5 linked regions of the Oryzias latipes genome follow. The protein of the gene in region 1 interacts with the protein of each later gene in a pairwise test. Links are inferred from orthologs where the notes say so. Each region holds a gene or a part of one and is shown on either strand. Other genes may lie near its edges.

What was found. The genes of interacting proteins can lie anywhere in the genome.
Region 2: the proteins of probable E3 ubiquitin-protein ligase DTX2 (region 1) and spg21 interact in binary tests that used the Homo sapiens proteins (3 or more experiments, as listed by UniProt). The two-hybrid records come from large-scale screens. The link is inferred for Oryzias latipes from reciprocal best matches to the Homo sapiens genes DTX2 and SPG21.
Region 3: the proteins of probable E3 ubiquitin-protein ligase DTX2 (region 1) and fam168a interact in binary tests that used the Homo sapiens proteins (3 or more experiments, as listed by UniProt). The two-hybrid records come from large-scale screens. The link is inferred for Oryzias latipes from reciprocal best matches to the Homo sapiens genes DTX2 and FAM168A.
Region 4: the proteins of probable E3 ubiquitin-protein ligase DTX2 (region 1) and alkbh4 interact in binary tests that used the Homo sapiens proteins (3 or more experiments, as listed by UniProt). The two-hybrid records come from large-scale screens. The link is inferred for Oryzias latipes from reciprocal best matches to the Homo sapiens genes DTX2 and ALKBH4.
Region 5: the proteins of probable E3 ubiquitin-protein ligase DTX2 (region 1) and eif4enif1 interact in binary tests that used the Homo sapiens proteins (3 or more experiments, as listed by UniProt). The two-hybrid records come from large-scale screens. The link is inferred for Oryzias latipes from reciprocal best matches to the Homo sapiens genes DTX2 and EIF4ENIF1.

Annotation. Positions count from the first base shown.
Region 1 is NC_019872.2:28,224,167-28,228,220, forward strand, and holds the start of probable E3 ubiquitin-protein ligase DTX2, read left to right. Parts: upstream 1-1,254; 5' UTR 1,255-1,894; coding exon 1,895-2,204; intron 2,205-2,578; coding exon 2,579-3,167; intron 3,168-4,054. UniProt on the Homo sapiens protein: Regulator of Notch signaling, a signaling pathway involved in cell-cell communications that regulates a broad spectrum of cell-fate determinations.
Region 2 is NC_019861.2:37,280,528-37,284,570, reverse strand, and holds the start of spg21 (maspardin), read left to right. Parts: upstream 1-1,243; 5' UTR 1,244-1,377; intron 1,378-1,543; coding exon 1,544-1,606; intron 1,607-4,043. UniProt on the Homo sapiens protein: May play a role as a negative regulatory factor in CD4-dependent T-cell activation.
Region 3 is NC_019871.2:20,750,915-20,754,886, forward strand, and holds the start of fam168a (protein FAM168A), read right to left. Parts: upstream 2,801-3,972; 5' UTR 2,675-2,800; intron 2,090-2,674; exon of another isoform or gene 1,295-2,089; intron 1-1,294.
Region 4 is NC_019872.2:25,208,760-25,212,222, reverse strand, and holds alkbh4 (alpha-ketoglutarate-dependent dioxygenase alkB homolog 4), read left to right. Parts: upstream 1-1,178; 5' UTR 1,179-1,189; coding exon 1,190-1,300; intron 1,301-1,385; exon of another isoform or gene 1,386-1,431; intron 1,432-1,941; coding exon 1,942-2,130; intron 2,131-2,256; coding exon 2,257-2,778; 3' UTR 2,779-2,963; downstream 2,964-3,463. UniProt on the Homo sapiens protein: Dioxygenase that mediates demethylation of actin monomethylated at 'Lys-84' (K84me1), thereby acting as a regulator of actomyosin-processes.
Region 5 is NC_019863.2:612,818-616,915, reverse strand, and holds the start of eif4enif1 (eukaryotic translation initiation factor 4E transporter), read left to right. Parts: upstream 1-1,298; 5' UTR 1,299-1,543; intron 1,544-2,101; exon of another isoform or gene 2,102-2,229; intron 2,230-2,494; 5' UTR 2,495-2,530; coding exon 2,531-2,620; intron 2,621-2,695; coding exon 2,696-2,769; intron 2,770-3,109; coding exon 3,110-3,237; intron 3,238-3,368; coding exon 3,369-3,643; intron 3,644-3,829; coding exon 3,830-4,028; intron 4,029-4,098. UniProt on the Homo sapiens protein: EIF4E-binding protein that regulates translation and stability of mRNAs in processing bodies (P-bodies). Plays a key role in P-bodies to coordinate the storage of translationally inactive mRNAs in the cytoplasm and prevent their degradation.

The DNA of each region.
Region 1 (4,054 bases):
TTGGTTTTCTTTATGATTAAGGTAACTTTATGAAGCGTTTGGGTTTAATCTCCTAAAAGCGTACAGTCTTGCAAAAGGAGAAGTTTGCTGCTGCTGCAAAACTTCAAAACTTTCAGTTCATGAATTGTTAATTTCAGAAAGATCAGGAAGGTTTCCTCATCTTTCATGTGGCGGCTCTAAAGGTGGAAACACTAAACATGAATCCTTCTACCAGCAGTGCATTCAGGGCTTATTCACTTTTTCCAAATGTTTTATGTCTTGTTTCAAATAGAGTAAACCTCAGGGAGGCGTCAGTTTATTAAATGAAAAGGGCCTTTTTGACATTTAAACCTTCAAGGCACCAGAACCTGGGTTTTTTTGCATCGTTTTTCTTTATTTGGGCCTCAGAGGTCCACAGACATTCCCTTTCTGACATGTTCTGCTGAATGAAAGCTCTCATGCAGACAGGTAGGTGTCCTCTCAAACCCAACCGACTCCAGAACCGCGGGTGGACGTCAGTGAAGCCCACGCATCTCAGAGATGATCCGAGCAAACAGGAGACACCGGGGTTTCATTTAAGCCTTTGACGCACTATTGATGCAAACCGATGCTTCTGCTTCATACTCACCTTAAAGAAAAAACAAAGTGTTTTTTCATAAAATTTCCGGGGGTAAACAATTACTTAGTTTTCTTTTATTTTAAAATCTTTTCTTTTTCCCAGTGTCCAAAAAACAAAAGTGTTCTTTTTATGATTTTGTGCTATTTCAAACAACAATAAAAAAAAATTTCACCCAACATTTGCTTTAAGGGATTTCAAACATTTTTGTCTAAACATATATTCTTACGTTGAAATAATAATAAATAATATGATTGTATTATTCAATATTATAGAGTCTCTAATATAATTTCTATTGTCTATGTGGAACTAAGTTTTGAAGTTTAATAATAAAACTGTAATATTTTATGTTTGGAGTACCATTGTACAAATGTAAATACTAAGATCATGAGGACTTGGTTTTAACCAGTTCGGAAAATTGTGACATTCTGACAATTTTTTTTAATGTAATTCTTGTGGCAAATTGAACACATCTTTTATTTTTTTACAGTTCCCTTTGATCCAACAGTCGTAGTTTTCTTTTGCTCAACCTTTCCTCTTCTGAGTATTTTGTCGTACCGTTTTGTCTCCGTTAGGGGGCAGCAGAGTTTTTGAAGATTCCAAAAAGAGGAAGAGGTTGTTGTTTTAAAAGAAGAAGAGTGTGAAGTTCAGGGAGACTTTGTAAACGTAATTTTGAACGGTAATGTGTTCTTCTTGAAAGGTTATTTGTTCTTTGGTTAATAAAGCCGCGTACTCTGGTCTTTGAAGTGTTTGGCTTTAGAATTAAAAAACACACAGATCTACTCAAGAAATGTACATTCTCCCATCTGTCCCCGACTCACCACAGACTTTGAAAAAAAAAGAGGTAATGAAGGACGCTTTTTGTATAGTGGGGTTTAAATGTAAGCAATTTAAAGTCATTTAAACCAGCAACACTAGCAAGTAGATATTTATGTTTGTTTTGTGCTTGCATGTTTTTACAGATTAAAATTCTGTTTTACGAATCTGAGTTGAGCCAACCTGTCATCGGTTTGAATGCAAAAATTCAGAGGGCGCGTGAAGGCAGCTGGTGGAGCAGAGGAGGAACCTTAGCAACGCAGTTGTAAAGCTAGCGTTTCCCCTGATAGAAATGTCAACATGCACCTTGGTGTTCACGGAGAGCGCGTAGTGTTTTACCTGCAGGCCTCTTCATGCTCCCACGTTCATAATGAAGCTCTTTAGTGAGCCAAGCTAGCCCCGCGGACTTTGGCTTTGTCGTAGCCCCGATCGGCTAGCTAGAACGAGCCGCCGTTAGCTTAGCTAGTACCTCGGTCGGTGAATATGGCGATTGTGTCTGGATCGTGTTCCCGGGTGAGCAGCTCCAGAAACGGGCCGTCGGTGTCCGCCGCGCCGTCCCCGTCAGTCGGACAGTCTCAGCCAATGATAGCGGTGTGGGAATGGCAGGACGACCAGGGCTTCTGGCGGCCGTACAGCGGCCAGGTCTGCTCCCACATCGAGCGGTCCCTGTCCCCGCGGGGCCACCGGGGAGCCGGACCCAGCTCCACCAGCGTCTGCCTCGGACAATCAGATCCCAGTCTGTCCCCCTACCTCATCGACATACCGAGCCTGAAGCAGTTTCGACAGGATACAGGTAAACCGCTTCAGCACCACACCTGAAGTCCGGATTCAGATCAGAGATTCTGGTTTCCGTCGTTCATTTTGTCTTTTTAAACTGCATTTCTGAGAAGATGATGTTGGTTCAGTCAGCTGGTCTAGAAAGCAGCAGTACACTTTAAGTTTATTTTATTAAGTATACTTGAGTACACGTATAGCTAGAATACTAGAGACTATGTAGATTTAGTGAAGTAACTGAGTATTTCTTGGAACATTTTGAGTCCAGGAATAGACAGTATGGAAGTGAACTTCAAGTGCATCACTTTTAGTATAGACCAAGTACCTTTTGTAGTACTCTTACAAAGAGTACTGTCTTGCTGAAGGTAAACTCATTTGCGGGTTTTTGTGCAGGAACCACGCGCTCCGTGCGCCGGTCTCTGTTCCCCCAGTCTTCGGGCCTCGGCAGTGGCGTTTACTGGGAATGGGCCAACGATGAAGGGGGCTGGACTCCGTACGAGACCAGAACTTCCATCCTTCTGGAGCACAGTTACCAGGCCCGCCAGGGGACCGCCGACCTGGGCCCTCACGGATACAACTACATTGTGGACCTCACGTCTTTCGCCCAGGTCAACAAATCAACGGGTTTCAGACGGCAGGTTCGTAGACTGGGCAACTCCCCGTTCCCGCTGGCGTCCCCGGGGCCCCCGGCTGTCCCCTTGGGGCCGGCCTGCTCCTGCCAGCAGTGTTTGAGCCACAGCAGCACGGGGCCCATGCCCAGCCGCTCCCGACATTCCTTTTCTTCGGGGAGTCTGAACCGACCCGGCCTGCAGGGACCAGGAAGGGCAGCCGCGACCCACCCCACTTCCGTCTACTCGCCGTATCCCCGGAGGCCCCACTCTGTTGGGGGGATATCCTGGGGCAGCCCCTGGCTCCCCCCTCCCTCTGCCAGTCAGATCTCGGCGTCGCACCTGAGCGGCTCCGCCAGCGCCAACGGGCTCAGGTGGGTTCCGCCTCTCTGTCCGGGGTTTCTGGTATCTGCTAAAACGCTGCCGGTCCCGTTCCAGTCGCCAACACGGATCTGAAGTCACTTTGTGGGGTCAAATGGTTTTACCTGAACAAATGTGGGACAGACATGGATAAAATAGGAACTCTTACATTTTGATTTGATTTGATTTTTGATTTGAAATGGTTTATTTCAAGCAATCAAGGAAGAAAAATACACAAAAACAATACAATCAGCATATTTTATTACATGTTTTATCTTTATCCGGTTCAGAACTTTTATCAGACAGAATTAAGAATCTTTTGGTGTCAATAAATCTCATGATAAAGATGAATTTCTTAATTATTATGTAAAAATAGACATAACTCTATTTTAGAAATAGCAAATGCAGATCAATTATCTAAAATATAAGCTGATTATATTCATTAGAACAATGATGTATATGATTAAAAAATAATACTATATCAGTAAAATAGACATAACACTGTTTCAAAAATCTTCAATATCAAAAATTGATCAAAGTTCAAAAGTTAAAAATATGTGCAAAATTAAGTTTCATTAAGAAAAACCATGAATCCATTTTTGGAGCAAGTGAAGTAATGTAATTAGAAATCACTCATTTTAACCATCTTCGATAATTGATTATGCATTATTTTTATCTTTATTTTATCTTTTTTTTATTTTAAGGTAGTTCTGTGAAATCAAATAAAATGAGAATAAAATCCTTGGTTGTGTCTGAATTCCCACCCTAACCCCAAACTACATAGTGCAGCACTGTGTAGCGCCCTGAATGTTAAAGCGATTCGGACGCCACGCTCACTACTTGTATTTTTTAGACGGCGGATATGACGTCATCGATTTCACAAAGTTAAAATCGAACTGAT
Region 2 (4,043 bases), on another chromosome or scaffold:
CTTTCCAGGAGACTCAAACGTGTTCTAGACTAACCACAGTGGGTCTGGGCTCTGGCCCCGCCCCCTCACTAAGGTTTTGACCTTTGGACATTGGTGAATGAGTTCAAATGCGTCCATCCTTCAGACCTTCAGCAGTGCAGAACGCTGCTGCACAGGACCGTTCTGCATGTGTCGGATGGGAGATTCCAACGTCTTAAAGCACTTCTTCTGTCTTCTGGAGCTTTCACTGCCAAAACGTTTGTCATTGAGACGCTGATGTGCCTGGAAGAGAATCTGATGCAGCTTCTTCCCTTAATGTGTCCTTAAGTCTGTTTGGGGCTCCAGGACTTCCCTCAACTTTATAAAGTTTGGTAAAAAAATCATTTCTACTGTTGTCTTTTTGTGGTTTTCCTCCTTTTTATCTTCATTATCAAACGTTTGTTAAACAGCTAAACAGTTTAGGGTAAATAAATTCACTTTGGGGTTACGCTCATGTTTCACAAGCTTTAAAGCTGCCTTTAAGTTCCAAATGGGAAGAAAACATTTCCAATAAACTGACCTTCACAGTGGGGACGACCTGAGGAAGCAGTTTAAACCTTCCATAACTGATCTTCTCTGCGTCACGTCAGACACACTTGGAGGTGGTTAAACGATTTCAGATGAAGCTTTTAAAGAAACAGCTGGAGAACCGATGGGGGCCAAAGTCTGAACGACACACCAACACCGCTCTGGGAAACGGAACCAATCTACACATCTTGTCATTTCAGTTTCCTGTCCAGGTTAAACCACAAAAAAATGAGAACAGACAGGATTTCAATGAAAGACTGATCCACACTGAAGATGTAAATTATTCCATTTTACTTGTATGAATTGTAATTTCAGAACAATTTACGAACAAAAACGCATTTCATTCAAGAATTAAGTTTGTTTTAGAAAGTTTTTCATCCAAATATTTTGATGACTGAAGTTAAAATTATGAGAAGAATTACCTTGAGGTTTGACCGATGCGTTTGAGAAAAACGGGGATTCGGAGATTCGTTGGGTTTTGTGTGGAAAGAATCTCGAGTCTGTAATGTCTTCTTACATTTCTATTGATTCCATATTCAGACAAACATTGAATACATTTGAGTGCTACATTGTATAGGATGAAAACTGTAACGACAACAGAAATTAAGCAAGACTTAAGAAACCAAAGCGGCTTTCTTACTGCCGGAGAACAGGATTTTCAGAGCGACCGCGAACGCAGCACCGGAGAGGCTACTTGCGGAAGTGTGTGAAAGGAAAATCACATGACCGAGCTGCAGCCGCTCCAAGCGCTACCCGACATGGACAAACGTCTCCGGACACGGTGACCCTTCACCGAGCAGCGGCGTGGGCTCTGACACGGTGACGTCCACGGTGAGTGGGGCTGGCGGGGCGGTCGGTTTCTACGCCGTTAACGGGGTTACCGCGGGGTTCGTTTAGCAGCTAGCCGCTATTATGGCTAACAGCTGCCCCCGCGCGGAAGCAGCTGAGCCCGGACACCCCCGCACACACACTTGAGTCACCGTCTCTGTGTCCGCAGATGGAGGAGATCAAGGTGTCTCCAGACTACAACTGGTTCCGAAGCACCGTGCCACTTAAGAGGGTAAGTTCCCGCCTCGTCACGCGCCTCACTCCGGAGCAGCTGGACCGTCGCCGATGCGATGAGGGCTAACGCTCGCGCGCGTTGAAATTCTTATGAAACACCTGCTCTCGTGGTCACGTGATACAAAAGCACCCCAGGTGTGAAGGGGTCCATTCCGTGACGGGTCATCGGGATTCTGTCCTGCTGGATCAACCTTCAGGTTCTGATGAGCCGAACCTGTTCAGAACCGAGCTTCAGGACAAACACAGCTGAACTCCTTAAACCCAGAGAGGTTATTTTTCTGAAACTACATGCACACCGTTCAGACCAGGTGTTCACACTGCGCCTGCAGGGAGGGGCTTCTTCTTCTTCTTCTTCTGTTTACTAGCCTCAACCTACAGTCGGAGGAGGCTTGCTGTGAAATGTCCTCCAGACTTTTGTGACTGACTCTGTCGTAGAATTCGGTTGGTTCTGTAAATGAACCCTTTAATCGCCGTGGCTTTAGCGCCCGTGTTCTTTACCGTACCTGGTTTTAAAGCCCTCCTATTCAAAGGTTGAGGATTACTTTATATGGAAATGAGGGCGTGGTCTTTAAGCTGACAGGTGGTGGTAGTATCATGGTCTCTAAAGCACACGTTAGCTTGTCACGCTGTCTAAGAAACGTTTTACAAATGTTATGCACTAATACTTGATCTTGTGACCTGCTTCCCTTCTGTTCAATAAAATCACCATGAAAACAGTTGACAAACAACAAAATAAGACCAAGAACGCACTGCTTAGACCACGCCCCTTCGCCATTACGTGTTTTCATTTTGTCCCTTCTGTCTCACCTGTTTCCTGTATTCACTTTTTAAACTGGTTTATGGTTTTTCTGGAGAACCACAGTTTGGAAAAATGAAGCTCCGCTCAAACAGATGTTTGATAAAATCATAAAGTTTTTATGATTTTGCTCAAATGTTGTCTTTTTTCAAATTTTATTTACATTCAGATTGTTGTAAACATTGTTTTTGTGGTTAGTGAATATAGTAGGAAGACTCTGCATCTCATTCCACAGCAGAAAAAAAAGGTTTTACCTTGGAAAAAGGAAGCTTGGAGCCTGACAGCTGTGTTTCTATTTTAGTCTAAGAAAATATCACAACGTTTTCTGCTAAAGATGTTTAATTTAAACCTCACAAATCCCCTCATGAGTGTCAGGCGTCTCTGCATTTAGTTTGTTAGGTTTTTTTCAAGATTTGTGGTCAATTATTGCTTAAACAATCGTTCTGATTGCTTTAGTTCATGACTTTTGTGTTGAGTTCTGCGTGAAAATGAGAAATCTGAGGCTGGATTTCAGCGGCACGGATCGCCCTCTTGGATTAAGATGAGATTAGCTTTCAGAAAACGGGTTTGGTCCTCGGATCTGCTGTTTGGTGGAACAACGGCTCGCGTTGTCTTTTGGAATAAGACGATTATTCCCGTCGGGTTTTTAGCTCACAGATCTCTTAAAAATGGGGATTTGTTTGGCGTTGGAGCCGACACCCGGCTGGTTCCCGCAGCTGGAGGTTGAGCCGCTGCTGCTGAGGCTCTGAGAGGTGGAGAGTCATGTGACGGCGTTCATCACCCAGCCGTCACATGCTTCCCTCAGCTTCACACGGGCATCACATGTGCTGCTTTTACTGGCACGAATCCACTCGTTTTCCCTCTGCTCACTCATGCACTTCAGGAGAGATGCATTCTGGGACAGAGAGGTTGAGTGACTGATGCAGGTCAGCTTCTGGCAGCACGGCTTAAAACCCCCCAGACAAGTTTGATCTGAAGGATTTAAGATTTTCAGAAAAACCTCTCTGCAGATTCTTTTGTTACCACTGACTGTATACCGGAACTGGACGGAGGGGCCCCTCCCCTTTGCTACAAACAGGAAGTATCTGCAAATCAACAGCTGTCATTCTGTTGGTCAGAAGAACCGTTCTGGATCGGATACCTTTTTGTTTTTAAACATCTACTTGATAAAACTCTTTTTTTTTCCTGTATCTCAAGTTAGTCAAGTCATTAACTGGCCAATCAGACGCCTCAATAAAAGTAGGCGGAGCCTGTTGACCCCCTTGTCCAGTGTTCAAAACGTTTACAGCTTTCCAGTGGTAGGGGCGTGGCCTTCCAACAAGCTCACTCCTGATTGGTGGGAGGGGCTGCCATAGAACAAAGCGTCAATGCTAACATTTTAGCTGTTAGCACATGAATTCTTCAACTGGATGCTATTTGTTCTGGTTTTGCTTTTTAAGATGCAGAATTTTCTTTTTCTTTTTTTAGTTGGTGTTTTTCAGCCTTTGGCTCCGGTTGATCATTTTGGTTGAACTCGGCCTTTTGAGTTCTTCTTGTGGTCGCGGTTCACTTCTGACGTTTGTGCTGCTGATCGTTTAGTGTTCTGCTTCCTGATTGGCTGTCGTCAGTCCGTCTCCTGAACAGAACCCATCAGATGGTT
Region 3 (3,972 bases), on another chromosome or scaffold:
GTCATCTCGTAGTCACCATTAAAAATGAAATCTCGAATTAACAGATAGTATAGTGGGCTGCTGAAGGCTACTTGAATGAAGATTTTTTTGAATGTCTTTAGGTCCCTAAGCAGCAAATCCTTAAGCAGCTCCAATCACAGGAAAAAAAAGTGTTGACAACACAAAGGTCTATTTGTGAGCTCCTGATGTAACACTAAGTGATTCTAGCTTTTAAAGGTTTGACAGTTTAATAGCTCCATTATACAGCCAGCTAAAACTCAACAATGCCACACACCAGCTTAGATGACAGGACAGATGAAGACCACAACAGGCTAAATTCTAAATCTATACCTTTGCTTTACATGTTTAAAACAAATATACATGATTTTGAGCCGGGATAGCACATGTTTCAATTAGGAAATATGCTTATTTTATAGGAGGAGTTACAAAATACTATTTCAAGTTTAAGACGGATGTGTCAAAACACGAACCGAAGTGATAAAAACTAGGGATGTCCTGATCAGGTCACATGATCAAAAAATTGGGCCCAATTAACACACTATACATCCCAAGCTTATTATTTCAAAAAATGCCCTAGTAGAAGTCTGTATATCATGAACGGATCACGACTCTAGTTTGAATAGGAGTGAAGAACAAAAACATTTTGGTAAAGTTAGCAATATATTCACAGATTCAGGCTTACGGGCTGAATAACTCTCTTAAGCGCTTTAAACTAACAAAAGGTGTCTCTATCAGTTTGTCTTAAGCCAAGCAATGACCTACAAAGGCATTTCAATCAATTTTTTTCCCTCTTTAATATCTACTCTAGCAAAGAAACCGCTGCCAAGGGACCGTCTACAAAGTGAAAGCTCCAGGAAAAGTGATTAAAAAGAATCAAAACAAATAAATGGTTACATTGATATGAACTAGTCATGAATACTCATCATATTCATGCTGAAACAACAATTTTGGAGGAAAGTCATTGTTTTTAATTTTTGGAAATTTTTAATGGAACAAATCAAATCATATATGTTTAAAAAAAACGATCAATAGTTCTAAAGACACTAAAGATACAGTAACCAAACATTCTTACAAGGACTAATTATAAATATATAGTGCACTTTATAGTGCGTTCACCATTTTGTGAGGCTGTCCAAATCTACAAATCCAAAATCGAGTGGCCTAGAAATTTCCCAGAAGTCATTGATGCAGTGTGCATCAATGCTTACTAGATTGGCAAATATAGACCATTATGCATTGCGTCTGAACAATTTTTGCAAGATAAAATGTATTTAAATCTGTTTTCAAATAAAAATTCAACATTTTCATCATCAGAACACAGTGGATTCATAAACAGTTGTTGTAGAACACTCCTATCAATTAGATTTTCACTTTGTGAAATCGGTTGTCATATTCGCTGTTAGCAAAAAAAGTATTGAGCGTGGTGTCTGAATTACTTTTAAAAGGGCACTACATAGTTTACTATATAGTTTTTAGTAGTTAGGGATTAGGGAGGGAATTCGGACACAGCCTAAAGTTTTTTTTACTTTGGCTAAAAATGGCATGATTGTAATTAAGGGACTTCTAAGAACGTTTTTGAACCAATAAACAAATGATCGGTGTCAAAATGTAAAAGAAAGTTAATAAAATAAAAATAGAGGAGAACCTCGATTAGTTTATTAAAATGTTCATTTATTTGATGCGTTACAAACATATCAGATTGGGACTCATTTTAGGGAGATACTCAAAATCAAATGAATCAAACAAACTGGTGCCCAACACAAATCTAACTGGGACTTTCCTACTAAATAAAAGTTGTAACAAATTTATAAAGGTAAACCCATGTTGATTATGCATTTACTCTATTGTTTTCTGTAGGATGGAAATGTATATTTTAAAGCATAACAGGTTTTAGGAAAATAAATAATGATTTTAAAATTGTTTGACAACAAAACATTCTTTTTATCTTGATATATTATTATCCTGCAGCCTCCTGTACATTTCTCAGAACCTTGGTGGTTCGGATGTATTTCTTCTATCAGCCCGCGGCACGCATCGGTCGGGGCTGCGCTGCTCACCACAGATAGCGAGCAACGCCAAAACAGCAAAGGTTGGACAAAAATGGTCACACAGTCAATACAAGCCAAAGACACCATTTTGAAAATCCCCAGATTTTTTGTGCAACAACCTCCAGAAGCTGCCAGTTAACACGAGACGATCAATCAACACGCGTGAGGTCGAATCATTGGGAAACAAAAGCGCTGGAAACGGTTGAACTCTTATCGAAACGTTAGCTTTCAAGCTAGCCCGAAAAAGACAGCCGCTAACCGGCCGCTGCATCCCCGCATCCATCGGTGCACGCTGCTCACGTCGCTAATAGCAGGCTAGCCGATAAATTACCGGACAATTGCAGGAAAAAAACTAACAACAATAACATGGCTTAAATAATGTAAACATGTTTAAATATTTAGATTCGAAACCTATAAGCATTAACGCACATCCGGTGCATTTAGTGTGTCCATTTAGTGTCCGCTATTATCGTTAGCATTTTTAGCTTAGCCCGCTAGATTCCCACTAGTCACCACGGAGGACAATTGAAGGGAAAGGGAGGGGGAAGAAGTCAAAGAACGCAGATATAAAAAGTCGACCTATGGACATTTCTGCCCTCCACGACAGCCAGCAAAACGGGACTCACCGAAACCACTCGAAAACAAAGACTTCTCGGCGTGCTGCGGTGCGCTCGGTCGGTGAGGACTGGTTCTTTCTGCTCGGCCAGTGACGCTTGGAAACAGCTTTCAACCGGAGAGACGGCCGACGTGTGGGGGATGGGGATGCACCGCCGAGAGGGAAGGAGGGAGGGATGCTGGGATGCAAGCAGAACGGCGGGGGGGACGAGGCACCGATTATGAACGGCGGAGGGGGTCCGATCAGCGGATCAATGCGCTCCAAACCACGAGGAGAATGGGAATTTGCGAAGTCACATTTTTTGTTTTGTTTTAATAATAAAGACAACATTATGGGGGGAAAAAATCTTAGGTTAATACTTTATTATTGTAAATAATTAGTAATACATACTATATGAAGCGGCAACATACATGCAACTGCTTTTGGCAAATTATATTATAATATTGTTTGCATTGTTTTTTTTTCTGTACAAAGAAAATCTGGACGTAGTCTATCTTTCTGTCTTCATGTACGTTTTCTACACAGCAAGACAGCGCCGCCATGTGGTCATAAACCAGGTTGCTCACGAATTGTAATTTGTTGATTTCAAACAATCACATTTTCTTCAGAACTGGCTTAATCCTTGGTGGTATGTATTCAACAAGGTGCTGGAAACATTCCTCAGAGAGTTTTGTCCGTATTAACATGATAACATCACGCAGTTGCCTCGGGTTTGTTGGCTGCACATCCATGATGCCAATCTCCCGTGCCACCACCTCCCAAAGGTGATCTATTGGGTTGAGATCTGGTGACTGTGGAGGTCATTTGAGTCCAGTGAACTCATAGTCATGTTCAAGAAACCAGTCTGAGATGATTCCAGCTTTATGACATGGTGCATTATCCTACTGGAAGTACCAAAAGTAGAAACTGTGGTCATAAAGGGACGGACATGGTCAGCGACAATACACAGGTACACTGTGAAGTTGAAAAGATCCTCAATTGGTACTAAGGGACCCAAAGTGTGCCCCCACACCAGTGCACCACCAGCACCAGCCTAAACTCTTGATATAAGACTGGATGGCTCCATGATTTCATGTTTTTGATGCCAAATTCTGACCCTACCATCCAAATGTTGAAGCAGAGATGGAGATTCATCAGACCAGACAAGGTTTTTCCAATCTTCTATTGTCCAGTTTTGGTGAGTCTGTGTTAATTGCAGCCTCAGTTTCCTGTTCTTAGCTGACAGGAGCGGCACCCGGTGAGGTTCTCTGCTGCTGTAGCCCATCTGCCTCACGGTTGGACATGTTGTGCATACAAAGATGCTCTTCT
Region 4 (3,463 bases), about 3.0 Mb from region 1:
TTGTAAATCTAGGTGAATGTTGTCTTACTACTTTATTTACATTTTCTGCCAAATGATGGGTCCCTCAGAGGTTTGGTTGGGTGATAATCTATAAAATTAACTAAATTAAAGTGAACACAAAGCTTATTTGAACACCACAGCCAAAAAGAGATGATGTGTTGCCACTCAAACATGTTTTAAACTAACAAAACAAAAGGTTAAAGACGTTTTATAAGTAAATTGAGCAAAACTATTTTAGCAAATCATTTTTTCCCACCTTTATTCATAAATTGACAAACATACATTAAAGCGGTAAGCACAAAACAAGAACAAAACGAGCAAAAGGGAATTAGGCACATTTTTTTTATAATAATAATAAATTTTATTTAGAATGCGCTTTATATTTTGGGTAAAATCTCAAAGCGCTACAATGAAGGCAGGATTTACAATGGTTTAAGATAAGAACAAAGTAAGACAAAAAAACAACAACAATAAAAGTACTAAAAAGCATTATTTTATTAAGATATACTTCACAATCATCATGAATAGCTTTGAGTTTAGAACTTTTGGAAATTTCGATGCATTATTTAATTATAACAAGGAAAAGTGACTGTGCAAAACGTTACATTAAGGATTGTATTTTTAGCTAAACTTATGTGATACTAAATAATGTACGTAATCTTAGTTACAAAAGATATTTTAGCCACGTTGACGGTCAAGTTGACGTTGTTGTTTGGACGCATTTTCTGGGTTTTAAAATATTTGAAGTAAATCTAACGAAAGATCGATTAAAACATTGTTGAATCTACGAATATACTCAGTTCATTAATTTGCAATTACAAGCTCGTAAAATTTGGACATAAAAAAAACTCACCAACCAAGGATACACGAACACAAACGCGACACTAAAAATTTCGCGGGGAAAATGTCTACTTCCGGGGGAAAATGTTTATATCCGGTGTGTGCTGTTTTATATACCCTGAGCTTTGACTCATAGGCAAAATAGCTTCAAAGTGAATTTGATTGTGGATAATGATAATAAAGTTAGTGAAATATGAATGTACTTATTTTGTGTGCTGCTAAAAAATTAAATGTTTACAGATAAGGTTTCTAAATCTAACTATTTTATAATTATATCCTGCGCCTCTACCTTTCAACCATACAAGCATATACCTTTAACCCACAAGACGTTAGTTCCGGTTGGCTCAGAATGATGGCTCCGGACGGCAGCGACGGTGTTTCTCAATGCGGATGTAAAGGGATCCGGCTGTGTCTTTTGTGCGAAAATCGCAAAGAAAAAGAGGGGACAAAAGATCCAAAGGTATCTGTATTTAACTAAAACTAACAATTAATTGTATTTGAACCCCCTGCATTTACCTGTTTGCGCTTCTTTCAAATGTACGGAGGTCCTCGCTGGACAAAATACATGATCTCAAAGCATCAATATGCTAGGTGAATACTTTATTTACCATGAAATTTTTAAGTTACAATTTGTTTGCTTTTGTCAGTCGTTCCGATTCATACCAATATTTTTCCCACTTGTGTGACTAAACAACAAAAAGCTAAAACAGTTATTCACGATTTCTTACGAACTTATACGAAGAAGAGTGTAGAATAACCTGACTAGTTTCTCACATTAACTTAAGTTGTTGTTTTTTTTTTAAGACTTTATTTTTTGTTGTTGAGTGTTTCTTGTTAATAATCCACAAACCTAAAACAGAATAACTTTAAACATAACAGCACATAGAACAATACACTTCACTTTGGGCGATCTAAAAAAAACACCACATTTTTAATATTTTTGTTTAAAAGCAAAATGTAATTTTCTAACATATTTGCTAAAAGAAAGAGCACATTATCTGAAGTATGTGAATGAAACTGCCTCAGTTTCCTACAAAGAGGCTAAAAGTGAAGTAATAATTTATATAAATAGACATTTGTTTACTGTTGTCTTTTTTTTAGGCGGCGCATCATTTCATCTACAATCCTGAGACAAAGCTTGCTGTCTGCAAAGATGCAGGGAGTGCATCCTTCTCGTTTCCTGGTATCTTCCTATGGGACGACTTTATATCTGAAGAGGAAGAGAAGCAGCTGATTAACTCAATGGACCAGGATGCCTGGAACCCATCCCAGTCTGGTCGAAGGAAACAGGTAATGCTCTCCCAGTCAGATTAAAAAGGTTTACATTTTTTCTTCTGAAAAGACATGATGAGAGATTTACATTGAAATTAAGTACATTGATTTATAATTTAACCATTTTTCTCATTTTGGTTGCAGGATTTTGGTCCAAAGGTGAACTTTAAAAAAAGAAAAGTGCGTGTGGGTGGCTTCAGTGGACTCCCTAGTTTGAGCAAAGAACTCGTACTACGGATGCAGCAAGAGCCATGCCTGTCTGGCTTTCAGCCAGTGGAGCAGTGCAACCTGGACTACAACCCTCAGAGGGGCTCAGCCATAGACCCGCACTTTGATGACTCCTGGCTTTGGGGGGAGCGACTCGTCACCATCAACATGCTATCAGACACCACACTCACCATGTCGCTTGAGCAGGGTCTGCCAGAGCTGGGACTGTCAGAGGAAATTCATGTGGCCGTTCGCCTTCCACGCAGATGTTTAGTCGTGGTTTACGGCGAAGCGAGGCATCGATGGAAGCACGCCATTCGCAGGCAAGATATTCACAAGCGCCGGGTGTGCAGCACCTACAGGGAGTTGTCTGCAGAGTTTCTGCCGGGCGGGCAGCAGGCAGAGCTTGGAGCTCAGCTGCTCAAAATTGCATTGGACTTTAAAGGAATTCCAATATAACTTTTTGGATAAGTGCAGAGATAGCTGGAATGACAAAATTTAAGATACATTCTTCACTTTTGTTGAGTTTTAAATAAGGAAAGCCTTGAAAACTTTTTTCAGTCGTCTGTACTTTAGCAATTGTGCAGTTAAACTTTGACTGTAATTTGATGTTCAAAATAAATCATTTTTATTTAACAAGAGAAGCTGACATTTGGCAGTTATTTTTATAGTGGTGTGAGAAAAATAAAGGAGAACATTCTTTTCTTATGAATTGGGAAGAGGTAAAGAATGACTGACTATTACTTTGCAGTTTTCTGTTGTGTTTATCATATATGCCCAACAGAGGGAGCCAAATACAAAATATTATTTTACAGTACCAATAGTTCTTTTTTTTTGCTATAGAAACATAAAATGCATTTTATATTCAGATTTTGCTGTTATGTAGTTTTATTCATGTTCTTTTAAGTTTTATTCATGTTGTTCTTCAAAATGGGAATGTTTCACAGTAAAAGCATGGATAAGTATTTTCAAAGTACTACAAACATAAATAATTGTAGAACATCTTACTAAATTTGTTAAATTTGATGATTTTTGACAGATTTTTTGTATTAAGTGAACTAAAAATAAAACCTTAAAGGTTAAAAAAACCCAAATTTATTTTAATGAATGTTAAACTTGTTTGTTTGATAAGTCCTTTCATATT
Region 5 (4,098 bases), on another chromosome or scaffold:
CAATAACTGTCTTTTTTGTGTATTTTCCTTTCTCCTGCCTCAGTGATGCTGAATTTCTCTGGTTACGGAACGTCCAAATAATATACCTTCAAAGCAATGGCTGGCAAACGCAAACAGCACTCAGGTAGAGTTTGTACCTTTCAAGCATAGGATGTCCTCAGATGACCTAATGACAGTCTGCTCGCAGTTCCCCGCTAGAGGTCCAGCACTCACCTTTGCATGAATTCAAGGCTCGTGCCAGTTAGTATACAGGCTCTAATAAAGTCAAAGAAATAAATAGACTGGTAAGCAATGGCAAGACCATCAAGGATTTCCCCAACTCTGATCTTGAAAACTCAAAACAAAGTTTGCTAACTGTCAAATGTTACCTGGAGGAGAATCTGTGTTTCCAAATGATTAGAAACTTTGTGAAATGCATGAAGTGGTAAAGCAATAAAACTCAATAATCACAGCAGTAAAATCCTAAGAAGTAAGCTAACAGTCCTAGAACCCGATCTAGTTTGTTCATCGAGTCTTCCAGCAGGGATGTCCAGCTCTGTGAAGCACTTCCTGTTTGTTTCTGCACCGACTTGCAGCCCCGACTTTGCGTCTCTGACTGAACTATGTTGCATATTTGCATCGTAGTTCAACTAACAAGGAACGGAAACCATATCGCATAGTCGCAAACTTAAAATTTGAACAACTTTCCTTGTCACGTGACCCCTAGAAACGGTAACATCAGGCGGCAATGCTCAAATATAAGACATTAGAAATTGTAACTATGGATTACACTTTTCTATTTTAAACTCAGTCCTGCTGTACTCGTTCTACTTTTCGAACTGAAATATATGTGTGTATATTATTATAAAATATATATTTTAGATGATAGTCACATTGGGTCCTCAGCTTTTGGAGGAATACTAAACAAAATACAAAACCGCCCACAGGGGTGGAGACGGCAGTTTCTGACAATATCACTCCGAGATCAAGATTGAGGGGGAAAAATCAAGCATACCCTGAAAAAATTAGGTATTCTATATAATGCCAGATTAAATGAATGAAGTGTTTGGTGTTTTTTCATCAACAAAAAACTTCACAATAAATATACACGATTTTATTAATTAACAAACATTTATTACGTCTATATAATATTTAAGCAATAAGAACAAGATTGCTCCTACACCTTCAGTAACAAAAATTTAAATTCTACAAAGGCGCGACGGGCACCTTTTAATCTCTCTGAGGACCTTCTTAAAGCGGTGATTGTAGGAAATTCGCTGCTACGACTAAGAAACAAGAGAAAGAGCAAACAATAATTTGTGATTACAGAGTTTCTGTGCGACCCGATTAATTATTTGGACTAGAAATACTATTTTGAGTTACCCTGCCATAGCCTGTAACAATATAGCTCTTTGGAAAAGTCGACCGCCTTATGAGTTGTTGTTTGCGGGGTGGGAATTATCCCCATTACCCAGCTAGTTAGCTAGCGAAAGGCGCTAGGCTAACTTGCTAACTAACGTGAAGTGCAGCTGTTCGGCAGTATTTCACGCATCATTTCAACTGAGTAAGTTGTTTGTTTGTGTTTTTCAAGATGCTTTTGACAAGTTTCTGTTGAATCACATTTTTGCCATCCCCTCAACTCTCAGGGGTTTGCATCGGACTGTCTCAACTCGGGTAACCATAATTAACCAACCTGTGTTTATTGTTGTTCTCTAATGTTGAGGTAAATGGGTGGAGGAAAAATACTACTTGTAGTTAATAATTTGTTACCAGGTGGCATCAACATTTGTCGCAAACATTTTGCGATTCATTGTAATTGACTGCCACTTGTGTTGTCAGGATGCTTTCAATTAAGCCACTAATTGGTCTCCACTGACGGATGGTTTGGGTCTTCACTGTTAAGTGAGTTAACTCCCCCCCCAGTATATATCTATTTTAATTACAGATTTGAAAACAAAGTGCTTAAAAAACTAAACTACAATTACCAACCAAGTTTAAATAATCCTATAGTAGACATGATGCATGTAAAGCTAATGGAAATAAACTATAAACAACATACTAACCTCCGGAACAAATGGGTTTTGATGACTTTGAAAAGTTTAGACCAAAACCACCAATGGACGGATGAAGAGGTTGTTCCACAAATGGAGGACAACTTGAAAAGTTTGATCCCCGTTGATTTGAAGCGTTTTGAGCCCCATCAAATGATTCTGCTTAAAAGATCAACATCTCCAAGCCAAGGATTACAAGGTTAAAAAAATATATATTTTATAAGCTTTATGCCAGCAAAGCTCCAAAATAAGTACCAGTACAGTATTTTGGGTTTGACAAATTATCTGTGTGTACTGTTTGATGTATTTACAAGAAACTTTCTTTAAAGGTTTGGTTTTTTTTTTTTTTCCTGCTAAGACATTGTCTGATTCTGAAACTTATTTAATATCAAGAAGTTGACCAATTATTTATTTATTGCCTCTAATGACACCAAACGAATGTGAAATTCTGCCGTTTTCAACAGGATCAGTAGTTTACCTGGAACCGCTTTGCCTGCATCATGGACAAAGATGCCTCAGAACAGAATGAAAGTGCGTCCACTGAGTCCAAGCAACAGGCACTGGCTACGTCTGCCTACAGATACACCAAGGTGATGAGACGCGTCAGCTAAACGTTGCTGCTTATTCCACACCGTTTTCCTTTTAACACAAGCATTTGTGCACAGGAAGAGCTTCTCAGGATAAAAGAGCTTCCCATTTCCAATCAAAGGCCTGAGTGTCTCTCAGAGAAATATGACAGGTAAAACCGTCTCCTTGTGAAATGCTTTTCTTTTTTATTTCAAGGGTTAGTCATAGATATTTTTTTTGCCTCTTGATTATATATCATATTTTATCAGCTTACATTTGATTGTGGCAGATTTAGTTCACTTAGTGACTAAAATCGCAACAGTTTGACCTTTTGTTCCGAACAGGATATGTCAGTTACAATTACTCTGAGGTTGGTTGGTTGGTTAATTTTAGGGTTAGTATATACTTCCAAAAATACTGAAACGTATTCTATGTGTGTTTTAACCAGCCAGCCCTACTTGATCTTTATGTTACATTTCTTTGCTCACCTTCCCCTAAAAACTGTTCTTTAGTGATGGAGTTTGGGACCCAGAAAAGTGGCATGCCTCACTCTATCCAACTTCAGAGCGGAGCTCTCCGGTGGAAGGTTTTAAGAAGGACTACATGGATGAAAGGGTTCCTTTAAAGCGAAGAATCCCAGGTATGTGCACTTCAAGAGTGAGACAGTGGTGGGAATACCACAAGACTTTTCTGTAGTTGTGACTTCAAGCTTTCAGGAATATTTACTGAAATTTCTGAATGAAACTTCTTTTCTCACCTATTTCCATGAAGATCCCCGTGAGCGGTTGAAGGAGGACGACTTGGACGTCATACTTAGTCCACAGCGCCGTAGTTTTGGCAGTGGATGTCAAGGCAACGCCCTACCCGCTGCTCACGTCCGTCGCCCAACCAGTCCTCTGGAAAACAAGGAGAATGAGAGCCTGCGTCTTGGAGGCCCCCGCAGGATTGGCAGCGGCCGCATCATCCCAGCGCGGGTTTTTGAGAGAGAAGCCCGAGTAGAGAAGGACAGAGAACGAGAGAGAGACTTCAAAGATAAAAGATTCAGGGTTGGTTTCTTCCATTTTTACAAACATTTAGGTCTCTTTAAAGAATTTTCTTTAAATTATCCTGTTATGATGACTAGTCTTGTATTTTAGTATAACCCTGTTGAAAGAAGTTCTCAATACTTTGCATTCAGTAGTCCATCGTTATTCCCTTTTCCATGTCCACCGACCCCTTTTCTGAACTGGCAGAGAGATTTTGGTGACAAACGTGTGTTTAGTGAGAGGAGAAGAAACGACTCGTATGTTGAGGAGGAGCCAGAGTGGTTCTCAGGAGGCCCCACCAGCCAGTCGGAAACCATCGAACTCACCGGATTTGACGACAAGATCCTGGAGGAGGATAAACGCAAGTCCAAGAGGTCCAGGAAGCGGACGGAGCCCATCAAAGAAGGTCGCTCACATGTACATTGAAGACTGTTTTAAAGTTGGCCAGAAAATCATTACTGCTGGGGGGTCTGTTC